Linked DNA regions of Lytechinus pictus. The protein of the gene in region 2 interacts with the protein of the main gene of each other region in a biochemical or structural test. Links are inferred from orthologs where the notes say so. Each region holds a gene or a part of one and is shown on either strand. Other genes may lie near its edges. The genes, in order: mutS protein homolog 5-like, mutS protein homolog 4-like and DNA mismatch repair protein Mlh3-like.

The links.
Region 1: the proteins of mutS protein homolog 4-like (region 2) and mutS protein homolog 5-like form a complex in vitro, tested with the Homo sapiens proteins (2 studies listed by BioGRID). The link is inferred for Lytechinus pictus from reciprocal best matches to the Homo sapiens genes MSH4 and MSH5.
Region 3: the proteins of mutS protein homolog 4-like (region 2) and DNA mismatch repair protein Mlh3-like form a complex in vitro, tested with the Homo sapiens proteins (2 studies listed by BioGRID). The link is inferred for Lytechinus pictus from reciprocal best matches to the Homo sapiens genes MSH4 and MLH3.

What each region holds. Positions count from the first base shown.
Region 1 is NC_087255.1:21,164,497-21,171,474, forward strand, and holds the start of mutS protein homolog 5-like, read left to right. Parts: upstream 1-3,920; 5' UTR 3,921-4,035; intron 4,036-6,978.
Region 2 is NC_087247.1:56,176,569-56,184,014, reverse strand, and holds the start of mutS protein homolog 4-like, read right to left. Parts: upstream 3,089-7,446; coding exon 3,085-3,088; intron 1-3,084. UniProt on the Homo sapiens protein: Involved in meiotic recombination. Required for reciprocal recombination and proper segregation of homologous chromosomes at meiosis.
Region 3 is NC_087251.1:23,400,687-23,407,753, reverse strand, and holds the start of DNA mismatch repair protein Mlh3-like, read left to right. Parts: upstream 1-4,000; 5' UTR 4,001-4,041; intron 4,042-6,708; 5' UTR 6,709-6,715; coding exon 6,716-7,067. UniProt on the Homo sapiens protein: Probably involved in the repair of mismatches in DNA.

The DNA.
Region 1 (6,978 bases), on a different chromosome or scaffold from region 2:
ATCACCTGAGCAAGTTGCAATATTCATTTTTGAATGAGTACTACAAATTTACTTGAAAAGCTGTTGTGTATTTTAGGTAATTTGACTCTTCTAAACTTCAGAAATATATAAAGTGGTATGTTGTTGCAATAACAAAATGGTAATGAGGCATATTTCATTTTTCACTATTTTTCTTGTATTTTGGTACAGAATGGAAGACACATCTTTTGACCATTTTTTTCCAAAGTATACATATGAAAATAAACTTTTTATTTCTTGTTCCTGAAACTATCAAGCATGAAGGACTTAAAGTATTAAAAAATTCAAGAAAATATTGAATTTGAATTTTTAAGCTCATGTCCATCAACCTGTGGAATTGCCCAAATGCATAAATTGATCAGTATAGGTTTGAGCCAAATTGGAAATACCTTTCATTCTGTATCCCCTCATTTTGTCTGTCTCTGATATGGGCCGCAACAGCTGACAGAAATGACCCACAGACAAATTACCTCCTAATTGAAGGGTGGAAACTCTTGGAAATTGATCACATTTCTCTTAATTTTGGCCACTTCTGTTGTACCATATTTGAGCACAGGGGGTAATTTTTATAGCCCATTTTTACTTGATTGACATGTGCAGTTTTATTTCATGAAAAGTTACCTTCATTAATATTCAGTAACCTTTGTTTATTTTCAGTGAACTGATGGTATCTCACTCTATACCTATTAAAGCCAGATCAGAATATGGAGAAATCTCAGTTTGAAAATTGGACTGAAAAATAGGGTTTTGACAGTTAATGATATTAGCAATAAATTGTTTAATCAGTGATGCATTCATGGATGATTAATTTAACTAGGGTTGCCACCTCCAAGCTAAATGCTGAGTGCCAAGCTAGAAGGCAGAAGAATCTATTTTTAAAAGTCTGTGGGATGACACGGCCAGAGATAGAACCTATGACCCTCCTTTAATGAGGCAGGTGATCTGCCACTGAGCCACCAAGCCCATACACCATCCCATTATGTTTTTTGTGTTTTTTTGGACTGTCCGTATTTGACTTTGAAACCAGTCATAGTTTTTAGAACTAGACATTGCATTAAGCTTTTTGACTTCAAGGCCTCTCCCCTTCCTTCTGGTTCCACCCCAATATCATCCATGAACTTGTAAGGGCCTCCAAGGAAAACAGTATGCCAATTACTGATGGAGTCACCCTACTAAAAGAGACTTATAAATAAATAAACTTTCGACATTCACTACTGTCTTTATGTATAAATTAAGCCCTTTTAAAAAGTGGTATTTACCCGGAAAGAAAGGCTAAGCTTGTACAGTGACCACCAAAACCTTGAGATCACTCTTTAAGAACTTCCCATCCTGTAGTATTGTGTCAATCCAAATCACAGGAAGCATTTCTCTGTAGAATGGTGTAATTTAATGAAATCTTTACACGCAAACGTCAGTCTGACATTCCTGCCAGTGAAATTGATACAAAGTGATTTGTAGAGCGAAAATGTCATCATGGAGAGAGAAAAGGATAAAATTGAATAAGATCTCTATGTTTTATATGCAGTCAACACTAGGAAAGTGATTTTAAATTTAGGGGTTAACTTTTTAATCTAGTATCCTATTGTGCTTGAGATAAGTTATATAAGAATGAAGAAATAAAGATGATATCTATTAAAGCTTTTCTGTCTTATACTTTCAGAAATTGTTATTCAAAGCACCCACATGCAACCCCCTATTAAAATGTAATTCAAGCAATTATCTACAGATATAATAAACTCATAAGAGATGCCAAAGAATCGTGGTCTACACCATGAATTTATGCAAATGATATAGCAAAGAGGTATCAGCCAAGCAGCCAATCAAAACTATTGGTGCATGCCCAGGTTGTGACAAAGGGTTATTTTGGACCAATCAGGTTTCACTTTGCATTTGTGGTGTCCTGATGTGAGAGACATGATACAGAAGACAAGGCAGTAGGGAAGTAACAACATGCAAAAAAGAAAAAGAAAAACTCAAAAACAATCCAAATGATGCATGGGAGATAGAAATATTCCTAAGGGGACCAGGGAAGAAGCATATTCATTCAATTAATATTGACTATTCGATCAAGTTCTCTGCCGTAAGATGTCACAATCTAATTGGAGATAACACGCAAATGTCGGCATTGGCCGCGGAAAAGGAGTAGGTTTGTAAAACTTTTTTTGGCAAAGCACTCGGTCTTGGGAACTGTGAGCAGCTGGTCTCACTAAGACAGAAGAGATTAAAAGAGGAAGATCTGATTTTCCTCTTCCTTTGTCGCTGCTAAGATTGAATGGAGATAGATGAAATTGGAAGAAGCAGGAGAGAGAGGCAATGAAGTAATGGATGGGAGGAGAGAGAGAGATGGGGATAGATGGAGAGAGAGAGGGTGAATAGATATATATATAGAGAAAATGAGAGAGAGAGAGAAAGACAGAGAGAGAGTGATGAACAGATATAAAGAGAGGCAAAAGGAGAGAGAGAGAGAGAGAGAGAGAATGGTGGGGTTGGTGAAGAAAGAAGAGCTGATGGTATGTAAACACAAAAGGACTGAGTGTAAATGTTGAGTGCAAAAAGTACATGTAATTATAAAGAAGAAAAGGCAGCTATGTGCAATGAAATCAAGATTTGAATACACATTATTGTACTTTTTAAAATAACTTTTTAAGTGTTCCATTTGGAAGCTTATAATCAAACCACATACCTTAAAACAGTGATTAAATAGTATCTCGCCCCCCAGAAAAAAAAATAGGTGGAGTAGGCTGTATTTTTTAAAGGAGAGCCATATGCCCTCAAATTTGTGCAACCATCAATTAGGCACAAATTTATCAGGCAATGCACTTGAAGTATCTGACCTTAAATGTTTCTTTTGCTCTTGTTCATAAAAATTACTAATTAATTGATAATTTATCTTTATATTTTGTATACTCTAGAAGATTTCTTGTATCTGATATGACTAAGACATACCAAAAATTAAGCGGTAGAAAAAATCTGACATCATTGTCTGCAAATTTCCAAGGTGAAAGTGAAGAATAATTGATTTAATTACAAAATGCAGAAAAAACAAGCAAAAATCTGTAAAGTTGGTAAGCAATTTATAGTCTGATTGACAGTGCAATCCTATTGATTCATCCCTGCGTATAGATGATATCCCGTCGACTGACGTTCGTTTTAGTTCGTAAAAGGATGAGGTCTCTCGATAGATCCCGTCGAGCGATTAGCGCCCTGTGGTTTCCATCGTGCCGAACAAGGATACATCTAATTTTGCGTGACTTGCCAAGAATTACTGGCGGCTTGTCAACCTGTTCGAAGCAAGGACAGGAGAATTAATGATTTTATGCTGGTTATTCCCTTTCCTTCCAAACAAGATCCTACCATTTTGTGTAGGGTGTCGGGATGTAATAGGGAATGTGGTGTTAAAACAAGTTAATTAATGTAAGTCATATTAATCAGTTATGAAAAGTAAATGTAATGATACCATATGAACACTACCAGCTTGTTTTTCACGTACTAATATTACTTAGATTGGAAATAATCATTATTGAATAGATTATTTATATTGCGCACATTTCCACCTTGTTAGGAGCCGAAGCTGGAGTCAAGGCAAAGCAAGGCTACTGATTTTGGTACTCACTGCCTTTTGAGGAATTCCTTCCTGCCAGTAATCATTTACCTCACCTGTGTCATTGCCTATTGATTTCAAGGATTGTATCAAAGATGAATGAAATCAATGTGGTTCATTCACTTTATTCAAAGGTACTCCTTGATTTAAAGGAATATAAGTTTTTTTTCACATTCATAATTTGACTTAGTACGATGTCAAAAAATAGTAGTGATAACAAATTTTAATGTGGACTTCAAACATTGATTTGGAGGTTAATTAAAGTAATCTCTTTTCTTATCATCCCTCATTTTATTATCTTTGTAGATCCGTGCTACAGGAGGACTTCTTAAATTCCTGGAGAAGAAGAGGATCGGCGTGGAGTTGGAACAATCTGGTGTGAATAGTCCAGTTCTCAACATCAAATCATTCTCACTGTAAGTTTCAAAAGAGAGATTAATGATGATAACATACTGGCTCGTATTCTGAACTTGGGTTTAATTTTACCTTTGATCTAAACTTGTGGTTTAACTATGGAAAGCCAATTTTGACACAAATCTTCGAGAGTCCAGGGCTCCGTTGCATAAAAGTTACCATTATGGTAACTTTCCATCCAATTGTAACTTGCATGGAATCCTTGATTGTGATTGGCTGTTGATCGGCGTTACCATATGGTAGTTACCATTGGCTGGCACAGTGGCGTACCTAGGATTTTTCACAGGGGGGGCAAAATTGGCCGCCCAAAAATTTGACAAGCAAAAAAAAAAAAAAAAAAAAAAAAAAAAAAAAAAGGGGTCATCAATACAAAATAAAGATTTTCGTACCAGAAAAAATTTGACAAGCAAAAAAAAAAATTAATAAAAAAAAAAAAAAAAAAAAGGGGTCATCAATACAAAATAATTTTTCGTACCAGAAAAAATTTGACAAGCAAAAAAAAAAAAAAAAAAAAAAAAAAAAAAAGGTCTTCAAAATCTCGTCAGGGGGGGCAGAGTGCCCCCCCGTAGGTACGCTAGTGGGCTGGCAACATTACCATAATAGTAACTTTTATGCAATCTTTCAGCACTTTTGACACTCAAATCATTCATAACTGTCTGTGAATGATTATTTTGATAGCTTTCCTCACCCTCAAAGCATGAAGAAAGAACATCGTGAGCATAGGAAACATACAATGCAAACTAATTGTAAACGTTATTTTCAGCTTTCCAAAGTCTCAGCACAGAAGTTAGACCATGGACTAATTAAAACTGGACATCAGAATACAGGCCCTGGTCACTGGGCTGTAAAAATCTTGTAACTTGAAATTTTCAATTCTAAGAACAGCATAGAAAAAGCTTGATTTAAGAGTTCTGACCTAAGTGAAGTAGCAACCTTCTCTTTGCTAGAAAGAGCTCTCTACAGGAATTTTTTTAGACTTCATTCTTTCAGACAATGAGTTTGCCCCATTGTCATATTTCTGAAATTCAATCTTTTTTAACCTGCCTTCATTAAAAAAATGTGAAACAGGGTTTCCAAACCCAGTGATAGAATTTATCAAATATTCATTGACTATTTAAGGTTATGCTGTAACATCTGCCATAGCCATGATGGGGGTATTTCATGAAGCTTTTGCCTGTGATATTTACTAACAACTGTTATAAGCTACCAAAAAGCCTTTATCTGATTGGCTGAAAGCAAATTTGTCTGGAAATCACTAGTAAGGTGCTTCATGAAACCTCTCCGAATCTCAACAAACATAGCAGCACAACTGGTACAGCTACTGTAATCATGATAATGTGATATGATGTAACATGAAAAAACATGCTTTTTAATTAAATCAATCATGAAAATTTACCTGTTTTGGGTAAACTTTCAGTGATCTATGGAACTGTATACATTAACACATATATATAGATAAAAATTATGGAAATAAGCCATGACTAAGAAAGATAGTAAATACAGAGAAATGGTGGAATGGGAAACAAGGGGGGGGGGGTCACATGCACTTTTAAAGATAAGTTGAAATAGAGTTGAAGAGCAAATATGGGAGTAATGAATTAATGGAGAATTAATTTCACAACCATTGTTTCCTTCATTTTGAACCCCAATATTTAGGAAATTGAGTCAAAACCAACTCCTGAAATTGATAACTATTCAATGTTTTTATTTTTTTGCAACTTCCAATTTTCAAAAAGCCTTGAACTACTCAACCTCAACATAGTCGAGTGAAATAGATTCACTTTGTAATGCTAATCCATATTCATACTTGGAGTCACTTGTGTTACAAACATTTGGAATTTGAATCCTAAATATTTAGTATTTTATTTTTGTACTTGTACTATCTAGTGGGTGTTTCATAAAGCTGTTCGTAGGATAAGAGCGACTTTAAGAACGACTGGTGATCCTTTCTTGTGGTAAATGGTATACTCCATTGGCGATGGTTTAGCATGTAAGAATGGTTCACCAGTTCTTCTTAAAGTCGCTCTTAACTTACGAACAGCTTTATGAAATGGCCCCCTGGTCATAAATGAACTTAAGTCTTGAAAGCATTTTACAGTCAATTTGTTTTACTTGAATAAATTAAATTATAGCAAACAAAGTGTAATTATTACTTGCCATTTTAAAGTTTTTCTAAGTTTTCAGAAAGAGTAGTTCTCATGGCATTATTTTACAAATTTCAGATTTTTCATAAAGTTTTATAATCAAATCAGAAATGCACTAAAATCTTGAATAATCAAGCAAATGATCTAAATATCCACATTTGATTTTATTATCAGGTTGGAACCATTGGATTATATTTGAGTTGCGTTTGATCACAAATAATTAAGTGATATATGCATTGAGCTTTGTGAGAGAATGAAACAGGGTGACAAATTGATAAAGAGGATGTATTGAAAAGGATGCATTGCAGTTTAGAGCTATAGAAATATATAAAAATGAAGAATAAAATCTGGTGATGATCAGATGGTTGCGTGCTATTTACTTATTCCACCAAGTTCAACTGTTTTTAGAGCAAGGATTGTTTCTAATTATCTCTAGAGCATTGTGACATGCAGTTTATGACAGTTCATCATCCTGTCATCTTTCAAAATCTGTCTTCTTTTTTTTGGTCGAAATCCCAGAGTAGAAAGTTATTTCTGACTCGCAGAACTTCCGCATCATTCTTGACCACCAACAAAGTTTCCTTCCAGTTCTATAGGAACTAGTGAGTCAGGGACGTCCATGAAATTTTCATTATAATCATATGGACATAAATAGATGTGATGGCAACATCAACAATAACAACAGCAAATTAATGTGGTAGAAGTAGTAGATTTTGTAGTAGAATTAGGAGGAAGATGAGAATTAGAAAGAGGGAGAGGAGACGGAGGAGAAGAAGAAGGTGAAGGAGGAGGGGATCAAGA
Region 2 (7,446 bases):
GTCAACAATCTGTCAGCCGGTCAGGGCTCTGTCCATCAATCACTACTAGTCTCACTTCAGAACAGTCTTCGTATTGTCCCATTATATCCATGACATTTTTTAATATTGGAATTTTCTTTATATCTGCTGCTGTCTCATTGTTGTCATGGAGCTGATCCATATCCAGTCTCGTGGAGGAGAATCTAAGAGGAGCAGGACAGATGAAAGCTGGAGGGGAGAAGTCTGGCTGCCAGGGGTGCCATAGGGCACATGAGAGTAATTCAACCGCACGCAAAGCATGCCGGACAGGCGTAAGTAAAGATCACATGACTTTATTGATTAAAATAATTCATTAAAAATAGACAAAATGTTGGAATATCAAAATATAAATGATAAAAACAATGTCATGTTCATACTCTTTCATAATTAAAGCCTTTGGGGAGGCTAGACTGCATTTTTGTATTATCATTACCCACAATGCAGTTCGGGTTTTTCTGGCAATGAACTGTGTGTGTGTGTGTGTGTATTTGAGTTTTGTCAGACGTGTATCAATCAGATATGATTATTTACGTCTGGGACCGACCTTTAACGTCACCATCCGAAAGACGTGACCAGGGCTCGAACCTCTGCATCAATTTGTAACTTCCCCACAGCTTGGATTACAGGCGCACGCCACAACGCCCAGTTGGCCGAAATTATGGTTAGTCTTATTTCAGGCCATTTAACTTTTGATTGAGCTGGACAAGTACCCGATTGACATATCAAGTCTTAATGTACTGTTAATTGTGACTAATGTCAGTGAATTAAAGCAAAATCTATCGAAGGATTGATTTTTGATGATTTTTTGATGAGCTATGATTTAACACGTGAGTGAATGGGGGTCTGTAATACTCATGTGAGCCCCATAGGATCGAGGCTGAAGTAGACGACACTGAGGGACTCTATGACTGAATATTATGAACTTTTATGCAGTATTGTAGTTTGTAGCATCGTAGTTAAGTTTACGTCTTTATTCGAGTTTCTTTTTATCCACGTTTAATTGTCTTTGTATTTTGTTTCTTTTGTTAAACACTGTTTGTTGGTGTGGGACTACACTGAGATGAATGTATTAGTACTTTATCTTTTAATTTCTATAATATGTTCTCATAATGTCAACACAATTTCTCAGTATGTTAGTCTTCCAGCGATAAAGCGTTTAAAATATTTCCGTTCGCCTATTTTGTACTATCATAACTCTGTAGCAACCTTTCAAGCCGAATTATGTCCACCTAGTAACCATTTTTCTTATCTTTTGTTATTATCTGGGGATGTGGAAACAAATCCTGGTCCAAATTATAAATTTCCATGTAGAAAATGTCAAAAGCCTGTGAAGAAAAACCAAACTGGCCTCCGGTGTTCTACTTGTAATAAGTGGCACCATTCCAGATGTGAAGGCATAAGTGAACAGGAGTACACAAGATTATATTACAACCCTAATGAATGTTGGACTTGTTTAACATGCTCTTTACCGCCTTTTTGTGATTCCTTATTCTTGCACCCCATTCAAACAAATGTTGGTCATAACGAACCACTTTTGCCTCCCACTGAACATGTAAATAATACCCCACCTTCCGATAAAACAACAGTGTATAAGTCCTTTGAAGAAAAGTTTGAGACAAAAGGGTTGCATTTCATTCATTTAAACATGAGATCAATATTGAATAAAATATCTGAACTTCAGCTTCTTTTTTCTAAACGTAAAATAGCTATTATTGCCATCACTGAAACATGGTTAAACTCATCTGTAAATGATGAAGAAGTATGTATAGATGGATACTGTATATTACGTAACGATTGTGAATGTGGGCTAGGTGGTGGTGTTTGTCTCTACATAAGAAACGACATTGCATTTAATATAAGAGAAGACTTGACTTCAAGAAATATTGAATCATTGTGGATCGATATTCTATTGCCTCTGACAAATTAAAGCCCATTACACTGGGTGCTCTTTACAGACCCCCTAAAGATAATAATTTCATTGAATCACTCTCTGACACTTAAAAAATTTAGAAAAGATGATGAGATTATAGTCTTAGGGGACATGAATATTTGCCTTTCGAAAGTCTCCTTTATCCCAGAAATATGAGAATATACTTAATCTAAGTGGTTTAAGCCAACTTGTAAAGCTGCCCACACGTACAACTCAGACATCTTCCTCCCTGATAGATCACATATTATGTAGTAAAGTAGAGCATATTAGTCAAAGTGGTGTTATTGACCTAGGTATAAGTGATCATTTATTAATTTATTGTTCAAGAAAGATTGTTAGGCCCATATTTGGGCACCACAGAACTGTATCCATCAGGAGATTAAAAGGTTTTAATGTAGATAATTTCACTTTAAAGTTATCCCGATCAGACTGGTCCAAGGTAACTGAATGTAACGATGTAAATATGGCTTGGGCAAATTCTAAATCTATATTCTTATCAATTATAGATATGAGCGCACCTCTGAAAGAGGTAAGAATTAAGCAATCAACTGAAAAATGGATGAACCATGAAATTATTGTTTTAATTAAAGAGAGAAATGTAGCTTACAAAAATATTAAAAAAGGAACATTGGCAATTTAGACATTGAAAGAAAATATAAAGTTTTAAGGAATTTAGTTCAAAGGAAGGTAAGAAGTGCCAAAAACGAATATTTTCAACAACGAATCGAAGAAAACAAACATGACTCTAGAAAATTGTGGAAGAATTTGAAAGGTTTAGGTCTAAAAAGTAAAGGGAAATCTGATGAAAAAACGGTTATTAATGTGCAAGGTGAATTAAGTCATGATAAGGCTAAAATTGCAAATGAGTTTAATCGTTATTTTACGACTGTGGCCGACAAGCTAGTTTGTAAATTACCAGTAAATGGGCCATTCTCCGAAAAGGGGCACCAAAGGATATTTTCGTGTCTCCAACCTTGTCTAGGCTATAAACCATAATTTAATTCATCAGGAAACCAATTTTTTGACTTTTATTTATACTACAGAATATGTTGAGTAAAATTAAAATCAACTGAGGTCACCCCACCTCATGAAAAAATTATATACGACACCACAAAATATATATATGCTCATTATACCCATGTCTCCAGCGACCTGTGTGATTATATTTCATACTCCCGCTCTTTACCGTAATATCCGAACTTCATGTTTTGTCCACTAATTTATAGTGCCTTCGGTGCCTAAATAAAAAAGCATATTGCTTGGCGAAAAAACTTTTGTATATTTTTTCCTGCGGTCTTAGCGAAGGTGTCTCCAAATCGGGATAAGATACGTTACTTTTTGTATGACGCCCTAAAAAGAACGAAGACAATAATGCAGTGATCTGTATTTCGGTGTAGTGATTGAAGTCCATTTAAAGACTATATAAATACAAATAGTGTATACTGAATCTCTATAATAATGAATATCTTCAGACACAAAGTTTTCAATTGTGTATGTTACCATTATAAGGTAAAATAAGATACGTTACTGAAACTTTGCTCTATTACAGAAAAATAACTTGGTTAACAAAGTTATAATGTATTTTGTTTTAGAGCACTCTACATTGCTTATGGTAATACATGGGAGTTACGAAAGAATAGGCTGTTATTTTGTGAAAACACAAGGTTGATCCTAAAGGCCGTCATATACGTTACCGCATTGCGCGTTGATAGGCCCATTCGCGCATTCTCTAATTTTGCACACGCTTTTAGTGCTTCTCCACCCTTCAAAGCATTGAGCGTTACGTGCTGAGAGTCTGAGGGAGATGTAAGGCTTCTCGCCGTTTGTTATTCATCCCAGCTACGTGGTTGGTAAGAATTTTCATTTTTTGAATATTAACAGAATATAGTTCATTTATCAGTTTGACATTATGATACATTTGAGAGTTATTTGAAGTTGATGGAACAGTTATAGGCTTAAGACATCTAACACGTATGCATGCGATTGTTTAGTGTGTGTGATAGCTCGCATGAACATTATAATGTTACCAGATAGGCACGGTAACGTATCTTACCCGACTGGTAACGTATCTTATTAGATATTAATGTCATGTTTTTATGTACACGACGACTAACTATTTTATATTTATTTGGTATTAATTATAAAATAATGTACATATAAAACTCCCATGCTGATATTTTTCCTCTGTCTCTCGTTTATTTCAGAGAAAAAAAAGACATGGGTCAAACGCGTGCTGAGATCCGGAAAGTCGGAGAGAAAATCTGAGTTAACCATCGAACAGTTGACACTAATCGAAGATTTGGCCAAAAAATATAAAGAAGCACAAATTAAGTAAAAGGATCAATATTAGAATTTGCAGGAGACAAATATTTGGACAGCATTACGTGTATTTATGCACTTTCCATATCCTCCTATTTTTCGAACAATCTACAAAGAAAAGGAATCCTTTCCCTGTGATGCAAGAATGATGAAAATGGCATATTTTGATAAAAAAGGAAAATAATGACGTTATTAATTTTTTTTTATGAGCAAGTTAATGATGTAATTCCCTTACAATTTTCTCCACATTTAATTTACAGAAATCCTTTAAAAAATCCATTTATCAAATATGATACAGTAAAGTTTTCCTATTCAACTAACCCCAAATAAAAACAAAATGAATGAGAGATGCTATTTGTTCTGAAATATTTGTTCTGACATATCTTAAAGGGGTATGGTTGCCTCAATGCTGGCAAAAAAAATCCAAAATGTCATTTAAACGTGACAAATTATGAGGGGATGACATTAACAACTTGCTCATTAGAATATGTTTTCTGAAAATGTGAAATTTTGAAATATAATATTTTCTTTACTTGCTGTCGGTTGTTATCCGGTTTGTATTTTCCTTCTTAAATCATGCTAATCATTTTTTTTACCCGGCTTTTTGCTTTAATACTTGTCACATTACGTACAAGCGGCAACATAATGTTAATTGTCAACTGATATTTGGAAGGAGAATATTTTGATTCCGTAGTCTAGTTTTTTTTGTCTTGGCTCTCTAAATGTACAAAAATATGAAAAAGTAGAATCCGTCAATATAGTGTAAGCTTTAATGTACCGAAATATTTGAGTGGATGATGAATCAGATGTGCTACAAAGACATTTTAATAACTTGAGAGTTGTGTCTGCTACGTTACCACCATTATCTACCGTATAGCTCCTTGGCTCTCTTTAAATTAAAAAAAAAAAATTATGACAGAACATGTGGAAATACATTAATTTATACAAATCTTTTTATAACTATTCAGTGTTAATAATTGTTAAGAATGAGATCTTTTATACAATTTAAGAAGGTTCTTTTTTTTGGGAGCAGAGCCGAAACACCAAGTATAGCCCAAGTGAAATAACATTGTAGGCCTACTTATAAGTTTATATTATCAACAGTCAAATACGTTACCCTACGTTGCAGTTATATATTTGTCTAAATACTCGGATGTAATCAAATTTATCATGTTTTTCCAAACTGCATGATGTTACATATTTCATTAAAAGTTAACAAAGCTACATAATAGACTGTACACATTAGAAATCAAAAGCTTTGGTCATATATTTGAAACAGTATTATAATTATGTCTTACATATAGGTTAATTTTGTCTGTGTTTGTTTATCGATGCATAATTTTACTTACTGAACTATGTCAAGGTGATCATCATAAATAATCATTATGTTCGAGGTGGATATAACATTTTGATGTAAGACAAATGCAAGAGTGAGTTTACGCATGTTACTATTATAAGTCACAGTAACAACATTTTGTAGTATAGATGTCTGTAAGATACGTTACCATATTGACATATTACAGTTATATATTTGCCTTGCACTCGCAGGTAATAAATTTGATGATATTGTTCCATCTTAATAGTGTTAGATATCTTATCAATGAGTTTATAGAAGGAAATGGACTACATTGTGCACTTCAAATCAAAAGTTTAGCTCATACATTTCAAACAGAACATAATTATGTTATTGCGTAAATTTTGTTTATATGTATGCACGTATACATGCTATAGATGAATACATGACTTTGCATTACTGAGCAGTGTTTTTTAATCGGGATGATAAATCTGAATGTTCGTAGTTGATAATTCGTTTGGATGTAAAATATATTGCACGATTGAGTTTATCGTTATCTTGAGATATAAACCACAGTAAACGAAATTTTGTGGAAGTATGTCAGATACGTTACCAATTTTCTCTTTTCTTGTAATTCAGAATGTATGAAATCTGTAGTAAAGTGTGCTTACAATGAAATTTCTTTAATAATTTCAGTATTTATGTATGATTTTTATTAATGTTTCAAAGCAATATAAGATCAAATTATAGTAGAGATATGAATTGCAATTTAGGTTATGTATTTTATCTGAAAATATACTATTTTTTTCGCGCTGATTTTGACTTACAGACTTCTAACATCTATCATTTTGATACATCTCGACCAATCAAATTTCAAGAACTACTTTTTAATCATGTGTGTATATTAGTTACGTTTACTTTGAAATATTTACTGATACTATTGGTCCACAAATGATACATCCACAGCGATTTTCTTGTCTAAGGCCTAATGGTAACGTATCTGACGGGTGGTAAAAACTATGTAAAAAGGTGTTCAAGTTCAATGCTATTTCTTGAAAAATATGTTGGGGTAAAAAATCGCCCGTTTGTTGTTATGTGTTCTCAAAGTATTAAAGTTTCTGAATTCAAATGAGTTTAATTAATTTTCGTATGTCGAAATTTGAAAGTTTGTCCAATCCTATTGGTGCACTTTTGTGGAGAATGTAATAAATACAAACAAATTTCATGCAGAAAGTGACCAATTTCAAAAGTTTTATGAAGAAAAGGGTATTTCAAAAGGTAGTTTTCATTTTTCCCCTGTTACAGAAAAATTTGTTTTAGATTAACTAAATAGGTTGAAAATATCAAAAAGTACTGGTCTAGATATGATACCTGCAAGATTTTCAAAAGATGGGGCAAGAAATTTGTACAAACCTTTGAATTATGTTATTAATTTATCTCTTATGTCTTCTACCTTTCCTGATGATATGAAATTTGCAAAAGTTACCCTGCTACATAAAAACTGACGTTAGTAATTATAGGCCTATAAGTGTATTAAGTGTAGTGTCGAAAATCTTGGAAAAATCTGTTCATGCTCAAGTGGAGAAATACTTTCAAGAAACCAAGCTAATATATAAATTTCAGTCCGGCTTTCGTAACGGATATTCCACTGAAACTTGTTTAATACATTTAACAGATTTTATCAGGAACAAAATTTCACATGGGCGCATGGTTGGAATGGTTCTCCTAGACTTACAAAAAGCCTTTGATACTGTAAATCATAACATACTTTTAAAGAAATTAGAAGTGATGGGTTTAGACTCTGCATGTGTGACATGGTTTAGATCATGTTTATCTAACCGTCATCAAGTAGTTACCATGCAGATGGTTCTTTCTGATTCACTGC
Region 3 (7,067 bases), on a different chromosome or scaffold from region 2:
ATAAAATTGTTCTCAGAATACTAATTCGGAGAGATTTTAAGGGTATTTTATCTCACTGATTTTAACGGAGATAAAATATTTTATTTTATCTGAGATAAAATGGATCTCAGAATACCACCCCTGAAACTTATATTTGTAAAGTTTTAAATATCAAAGTATGTTTTTATATGTATATATATTCCTCAACATATTTTTTAAGTTATCTTTGATATTGTTGTAGTCATATTCTTTCATATTCGTTTTTTGATCGCTACTAATTTGTTGTTGTATTGGATCGGCATTTGATTTCGTTGGCATGAACAATAAAATACGCGCGCAGCTCAGCTGCATGCGCGTATCGAGTTGACCTTAGAGCATAGAGATGTATACTAACTACGCTAGAGTGCGGAGTCACCATAGGCGCGCGTACTTAACGTCTGTGATTGCGCGGAGCATGATCGGCAATTGCTTGATAGGTATAGATTCGCAAAAGTACCTGGATGTACCCATAGACCGTACGTTGTAACGCTGTGGAAGGGGATGCTGTCTCCGGCTTTTATCTTGAAGAAAAAAAATCAAACCTAATTACAATTGAAAATATGAATGACAAATTGCATCTCAATAAATTATTATTGTGATTACATGGGGATTATGCTATTAATTTGTCTTTTTTTATCTGGATTCTCGGGATGAAATTCTCTATACAGTGTATTTACCTGCCACATGCCTAGATAATAATAAAATAACAATATTGATAATATGACATAAATAAGTAGAAAAAAATCAAACATACATTAAAAGTAAATTTTGACAATCATTTCAAAAGACAGAATTAGCCCATCTTCTCTGGACTTCCCTATCTTTGATACATCATCCTTTGGCACATTCCTTCGTCCACATGACTGTTCTCATGACCAATGATGGATATAATTTTGTAATTTTGATTCATTTCAACTCTATTCGTTTCACTTCACTTCAATTTTTTTTTCATTTTCATTCAAACATAATACAAAGTACAGGGGGCTCGACTGGGCCCCTCCCTGACAGGTATCATTTTGATCACTCAACAGCCGGCAATAATTGTGATATCTTATTCCAAGTATTTGTCAGTTTTACAATAGGCCTATCATTGCTTAATGTTTGATTTTTGTAGGCCTACTCACAATTTTGCAAAACTTTTTTATTTTAAGTAATAATATTCCTTGTAGTATAGTACAAATTAAAATTATATCCCACTCCCGCCCTGTTTCTTCTCCTCTCCTCCTTCTTCCTAGCTCTCCTTATTATTCGATCCTTGATTTGTTCACATAATTTGTCCAATCCCCGGGGGGGCCACTTCCATTCACGAGTGGATACCATGCGCGACCATGGGGTCTCAAAAAGCACCCTAAACACGTAATTTCCATAATCTGAAAATGCACCCCTTAACAAGTATTGGCGTGTGAATCCCTACCCTTAACAAGTATTGGAAACAAAACGAGATCATGGCAAATATTCCCTGAAATGAACCCCTAAACAAGTACAGGAATGTTTTATTGTTACGGGTCCTTCGGTCGTCGGCTTTACCTTATTTGGTTTAGTACGACCCCACCTTCTACACCTCGCGCAAATCGGACTCTAAACACGAAGTGTTGGGGCAAAAAGGACATCCTTTATAAAACATTTTAATTTTGTTTTATCATCCCCGCAAATTCGACCCTAAACACGTAATTGTCCTAGCGAAATAGATACCCTTTTTTCATTATTATTGCGTTTTTGACACCCTTATCACGTTACGTACGTAACGTGCCCTATCGTGAAAAAGACATCCTTTTTACGTGTTTTTTTGGTCGCGCATGGTATCCACTCGTCAATGTAAGTGGCCCCCCCGGGGTCCAATCAAAGGATCATAAACACCAGCGATATGTTAACAGAGTCAGCCGATCAGTATATTACTTCAGCCGGGGGGGGGGGGGATCAAGGCTAGATTTTCCAGAAAATCAAAGTGAAACTCTTTTATGTTGCGACACGCATTGCAATTTGTTTATTAGTGCCAGTCACGCTGAATGTGGGCTATCCACCGTATTTTATTGTATATAATTGTGCTTTTAATACGGAAATAAATACTACTACTACTACTATCATGTTATTTGCAAGGCAATACTGTAAACATAATTTCCCCCATTAGGCCTCCAGACCTGTACATTACAAAATTGTACAACGCGCGTTTTTGATATGCAAATTTTGCTGTCAACAAACTTTCTACATTGATTTGCACATAAATGATCGGATGGTTGCCAATATTGGAAATCTAAATCATATTACTTATAGATTCATCAATTAATTGGACCAATGCGTAAATCATTTTCAAATATCAATAAAAAGTCATTTTTATGACTCACGAGTTATTGTGATGACGGTTACATCGACGTTTAAACCCATGGGGAAAAGGGGCTATGCCCTATTATGATGTCTATGTGTCTGTCTAGTATATGGAAAAAATATAACAATTATTTTTAAAAAAATGAAGAAATAAATTATCAGCATCATGGTTATGCATAGGCCTACACATGTTATTTTTAATATTCATCCCTTCCAAATCATTAGAAAATAAAAGTCATAAAAATAAATGTAGCGACCTATCAAAATGTTTAATATGACCAAAGCAAAAACAATTGGGGATGTATCATTGGCCTGTATATTCGCTATTGATATTCCTATATAGGCATATTTTTGTTCTCGTTTTGTTAGATTTTTTGTTGATTTAAACTTTAATTAATTATATTCAAAACTATTTAACTTTTCCATTTGCTTTCGCGCTCATATGTCATCATTTTGTTCCGTTTCTGTGCTATCACTGTACATGCCCCATAGGTACTGTACGCGCATGGCAGGCTACGAATACCTATCGAGTAATGGCGGCCGGTCTCCGCGTAATCACAGCGATTTGACGAAGTACGCCCTCTAGCGTTATTAGTATATATCTCTATGCCTTAGAGCAACACGCTTGTGTGTTGCTGCCCTCTACGTTCGTTGGTTCGAATGCAAGATGGAATTTCAGGGAAGCACATTCATGAAACTTGGAAAAAAAATTGACAAACATTAAAAAACACAAATAAGGTAATTTCACCAGGATGATGATATTTGAAATTTAGAAAAGACACCCTTGCCATAAAATAGACAGGCTTATATGTATAATAATTGTAATAATAATTATATATATAATTATATATATATATTCTCAGAAATGAATAAATGCAAAATGTGGATTTGTTTGCCAATTTAAAATGATGTTGCTGCCTGATCAGCTAGGGCCTTTTGCTCGAAATAGTGTACCCATTTTATCTAGCCCATCTAAGAGTCTGTTTCAAACACATTGACAGATACATTCTGCAACCCAGAATAATCTGCCTACATTGAGGTGTTCCGAGTTCATTTTAACTATTTTTACTCCTATTCTATAGAAAACTGGTCAAGATTCCAAGTACACTTTTTTGTCTTCCGTTGAGTAGAATTCTCTTTGCATAATATGGAGAATATGGAGAATATAAGACCACTCATTTTTCACAATTTCACAATCAAGTTTTTTTTTCTTCAAAATCACAAAATTGCAGACAAGAACCAGGAAAAGCATAACATCTATTTAGTAGGCTTACGAGCTCAAAACACTCACTTTCCATTTCAGGTACAATATGAAAAGAGACGTTTAATACTAATTAATTAATTTCATTTCATAAAGCTTTCTCAACGATCTGGTGTTTTTTTCATACACAATGTCAAATGCACTCTTTTTTTTTTTTTTTTTTTTTTTTTACAAGTGCACATCTAGTTTCCAATAATGCATATAGCATTTCCATTTATTTGAAAGCAGGATAAAAGAGCATTGTAGGTTATATGCCTTGCTCACGGGCACAGGTGCCGCGGCCGGGGATCGAACCCCGGACTTTCCATGTATAGCCAGGCGCCTTAGACCACTTGGCCACGGCACCTCAACTCTTTTCTGCCCCCCTTTTTTTTACCTTGCGCCCTCTACAGCGCAGAGCAGAAAATTCGCGAATTTCAAAGTTTGGAAAGAAAGCCGAGGTGAGTGAGATGGGTTGCTTCATTTTGTTTCGCTGTTTTAAATGTGATGTTTTGTCCGTTTCGTGTAATTTTATCAATTATGAAGATGAAAATGGAGTTATCGAGTGTTCAATGTAAGATCTAGATCAAGACCACGTTCAGGTGCGTCCAGTGCAGTGTGCGTCTTTTCTTAATCTTATTTAGTTAGGCCCCCGTCCCCCACGTACTGAAAATAGTGTTGGTAAAATTTAAATTGTTAAGGACTAACGTTAGATCTAACATTACAGGGCGTCCCACTAGTAAAAGGAAACCCGTCTTCAGATATAAATTTCACAATTATCAAATATGTTTTTACTAGTATAAATTTGACACTTATCATTATGATATGGTAACCATAAAGAGTGGAATCTCTTAAATTTGAGACAAAAAGCTCAGCAAATATTTCACGTGTGGGCGTGGCCACTCCTAGTACCAATGAGGTCCAACATTACATGTATGGACCTCATAGGCGACATCAGTAGTATTTTTGGTTAGAAATCTCTGAGAACATGATATTTAAACATTATATCACAAGTACAAGCTATAATTCCTTTCTCTTATTTAAATTATAATTTTATAGTGTAAATGCATCGTTAGCAACAACAAAAAATGAAAGAAATGAAGGGGAACTTACATTTTCACGGCTTTTTCCTGATTTTCTGGGCAGCTGCTCTTCTCTTCTGACTCGCGATCGAAGCTGATATGAAGATCACGTGATTCGCGTTCTCGTCAGCTGATCGGTTGGTTATTCTTTTCGTCAGACGTTAATAATATATATTTTATAATGCTAGCATTCATCGCTAATTTAGGTGAAAGAGATTGAAGTTAAACAGCGCCAGGTCGGAATCATAATTATTTTGGAAGAGTGTATTTATACACTCGATCTCATACCTGACGTAGACGGCGCTATTCAACAAATGCACAATCTTCAATATAAAAAATAAAACAGAAAGAACGCCTTGAACACAGGCCAAAATGCCTAACGATTTCTCCGCGGCATTAACAACTATCGTAAAGGGCGCTCCATTTATCAATAAAGATGGACGCTAAGCTGTCTATGGCGACAAAATTTGCCGCAAATATTTACGAAGAATTGTGAGAAATGGTCTGAAAATGCAACAAAAGAACCGGTGAGTACCGATTAAACATTATTAAATTTGTAAATAGATTATACATACCTTGTAGATTTAGTTTTTAAGGTGATATTAGTGCTTAGTTCTAAGCTAGGGAGGCCCAAACGCGCGTAAGTGGAGTCCCAGTTTATTAGCACGGGTAAGTATTGGGGTGTCGCCTAGAGTGGGCGTGGCACTTAGCCTTGAGGACTTTGTGATGATATTTTTAAATATTTTGACATATACTTATTCATCAAGAAGCCTTGAAACCCTTGCCATAGGTACGTAAGCGAGACTTGTCAACAAATATGGATTTCCCTAGGAAATCCATCTCATCTTTGAAGATAGAAATCACGTAAATTTGTCTGATTTTATTTATCTATACACCTTCATGTGCCTATAATTATAAATGCGTATGAAGGTGCAAAAAAACACTTAGTAAAAATGTGAAAAATGAGAGGTTTCTTACCAGAACATTCTCGTGTAGATCCCTCGATCCATTTGTAAACACCGCACATACAATAGGCTTGACACTTGAACTGCTTCGTTATGACGTAGCTTCGATAAGCGATGTTACAAAATGCCGTTTTGAAGAACAATTTATAGATAAAAATTATTCTTTAACAAATAATAAATTTAAAACCTATAAATAATCATTATTGCAATAATAATTCTTTATAATATAATCAAGTTTCAAATTTTATTATTTGTTAAAATAAAAGGGAAAATTTGTGCAACTATTGTATTTCAATACTGTACAAAAAATTCTTGGCTGCTAGCATTCGCATGTGCGCATCTGGACAATAGCGGAGATCTTGTCTTGCCCCCTTTTTGATCCCATGATCCTTTGTGATAAAGGATAAAGAATATTTGGATAGATTTTATATCTGAAAGTTTTTGTAAATATTCTAAAGATCATCAATCAAGAAGAAAATGGTGAAAAACTCACTAAAACATGTAAAATGAAAATTCTGCTGTCTTTTATTTTGAATTCACCTCTTGAATTGGCCCATGGGTTTGGAAGGGGTCCTACATGTATTTCTACATACACAATTTTCCATTCAGAGAAATGTTGTTAAACTGCATTTCCTGTGTACAAATTTTTAATATCTATTATTTTCTTGCAAGAAAATGTGATATATGATAATTAAGAGAATAGAATTCCAAAGCTGCAATAATTTGATGGTTCTATATATGATTTTTGCAAATTATTGCATAGCCTTTGTGGAGTTTTGAATAGGAATAATTTGTCACACTGCAGTCACAGTCCCATACACAGAATCCACATTTTGCCATTGAAATTGAATGTTCAATAAGTGGTGTGTAGCTTTAGGACCCCTTACCTTACAAATGTTTTATTAAGCCTTTGGCTGTGAAATATGTTTTTAATAAACCATTTTTGAATTGGATGGAATTAAACATTTTGTAGATGTCTCTGATGTCGGTTTGTTGCCAAATGTCTTATTTGGTCTATTTTTTCTTTTGGTTTTATTGTTTTTTTTTTTGTTTTTTTTTTTTCATTTTTAATTTGTTACAGAATTTTCATGATGTCTCTTGATCAAATTGCTTCAATCCAGTTCCTGTCTCAAGATGTACAAAATCAACTAAGATCTGGCGTTGCCACACCATCAGTTGTCCAATGTGTAGAGGAATTGGTTGTGAATAGTATTGACGCTGAAGCTTCTTGCATCGCTGTTCGTGTGCATCTACCTGACTGTCAAATTCAGGTCGTAGACAATGGAAGGGGGATGACTAAAGATGATATGCTCTGTGTGGGTGAGAGATATGCTACAAGCAAATGCCATAACACAAAAGACCTTGAAGATATATCCCATTATGGATACAGAGGAGAAGCTCTTGCAAGTATAAAGGAAATTTCTTCAGTGTTGGAGATCA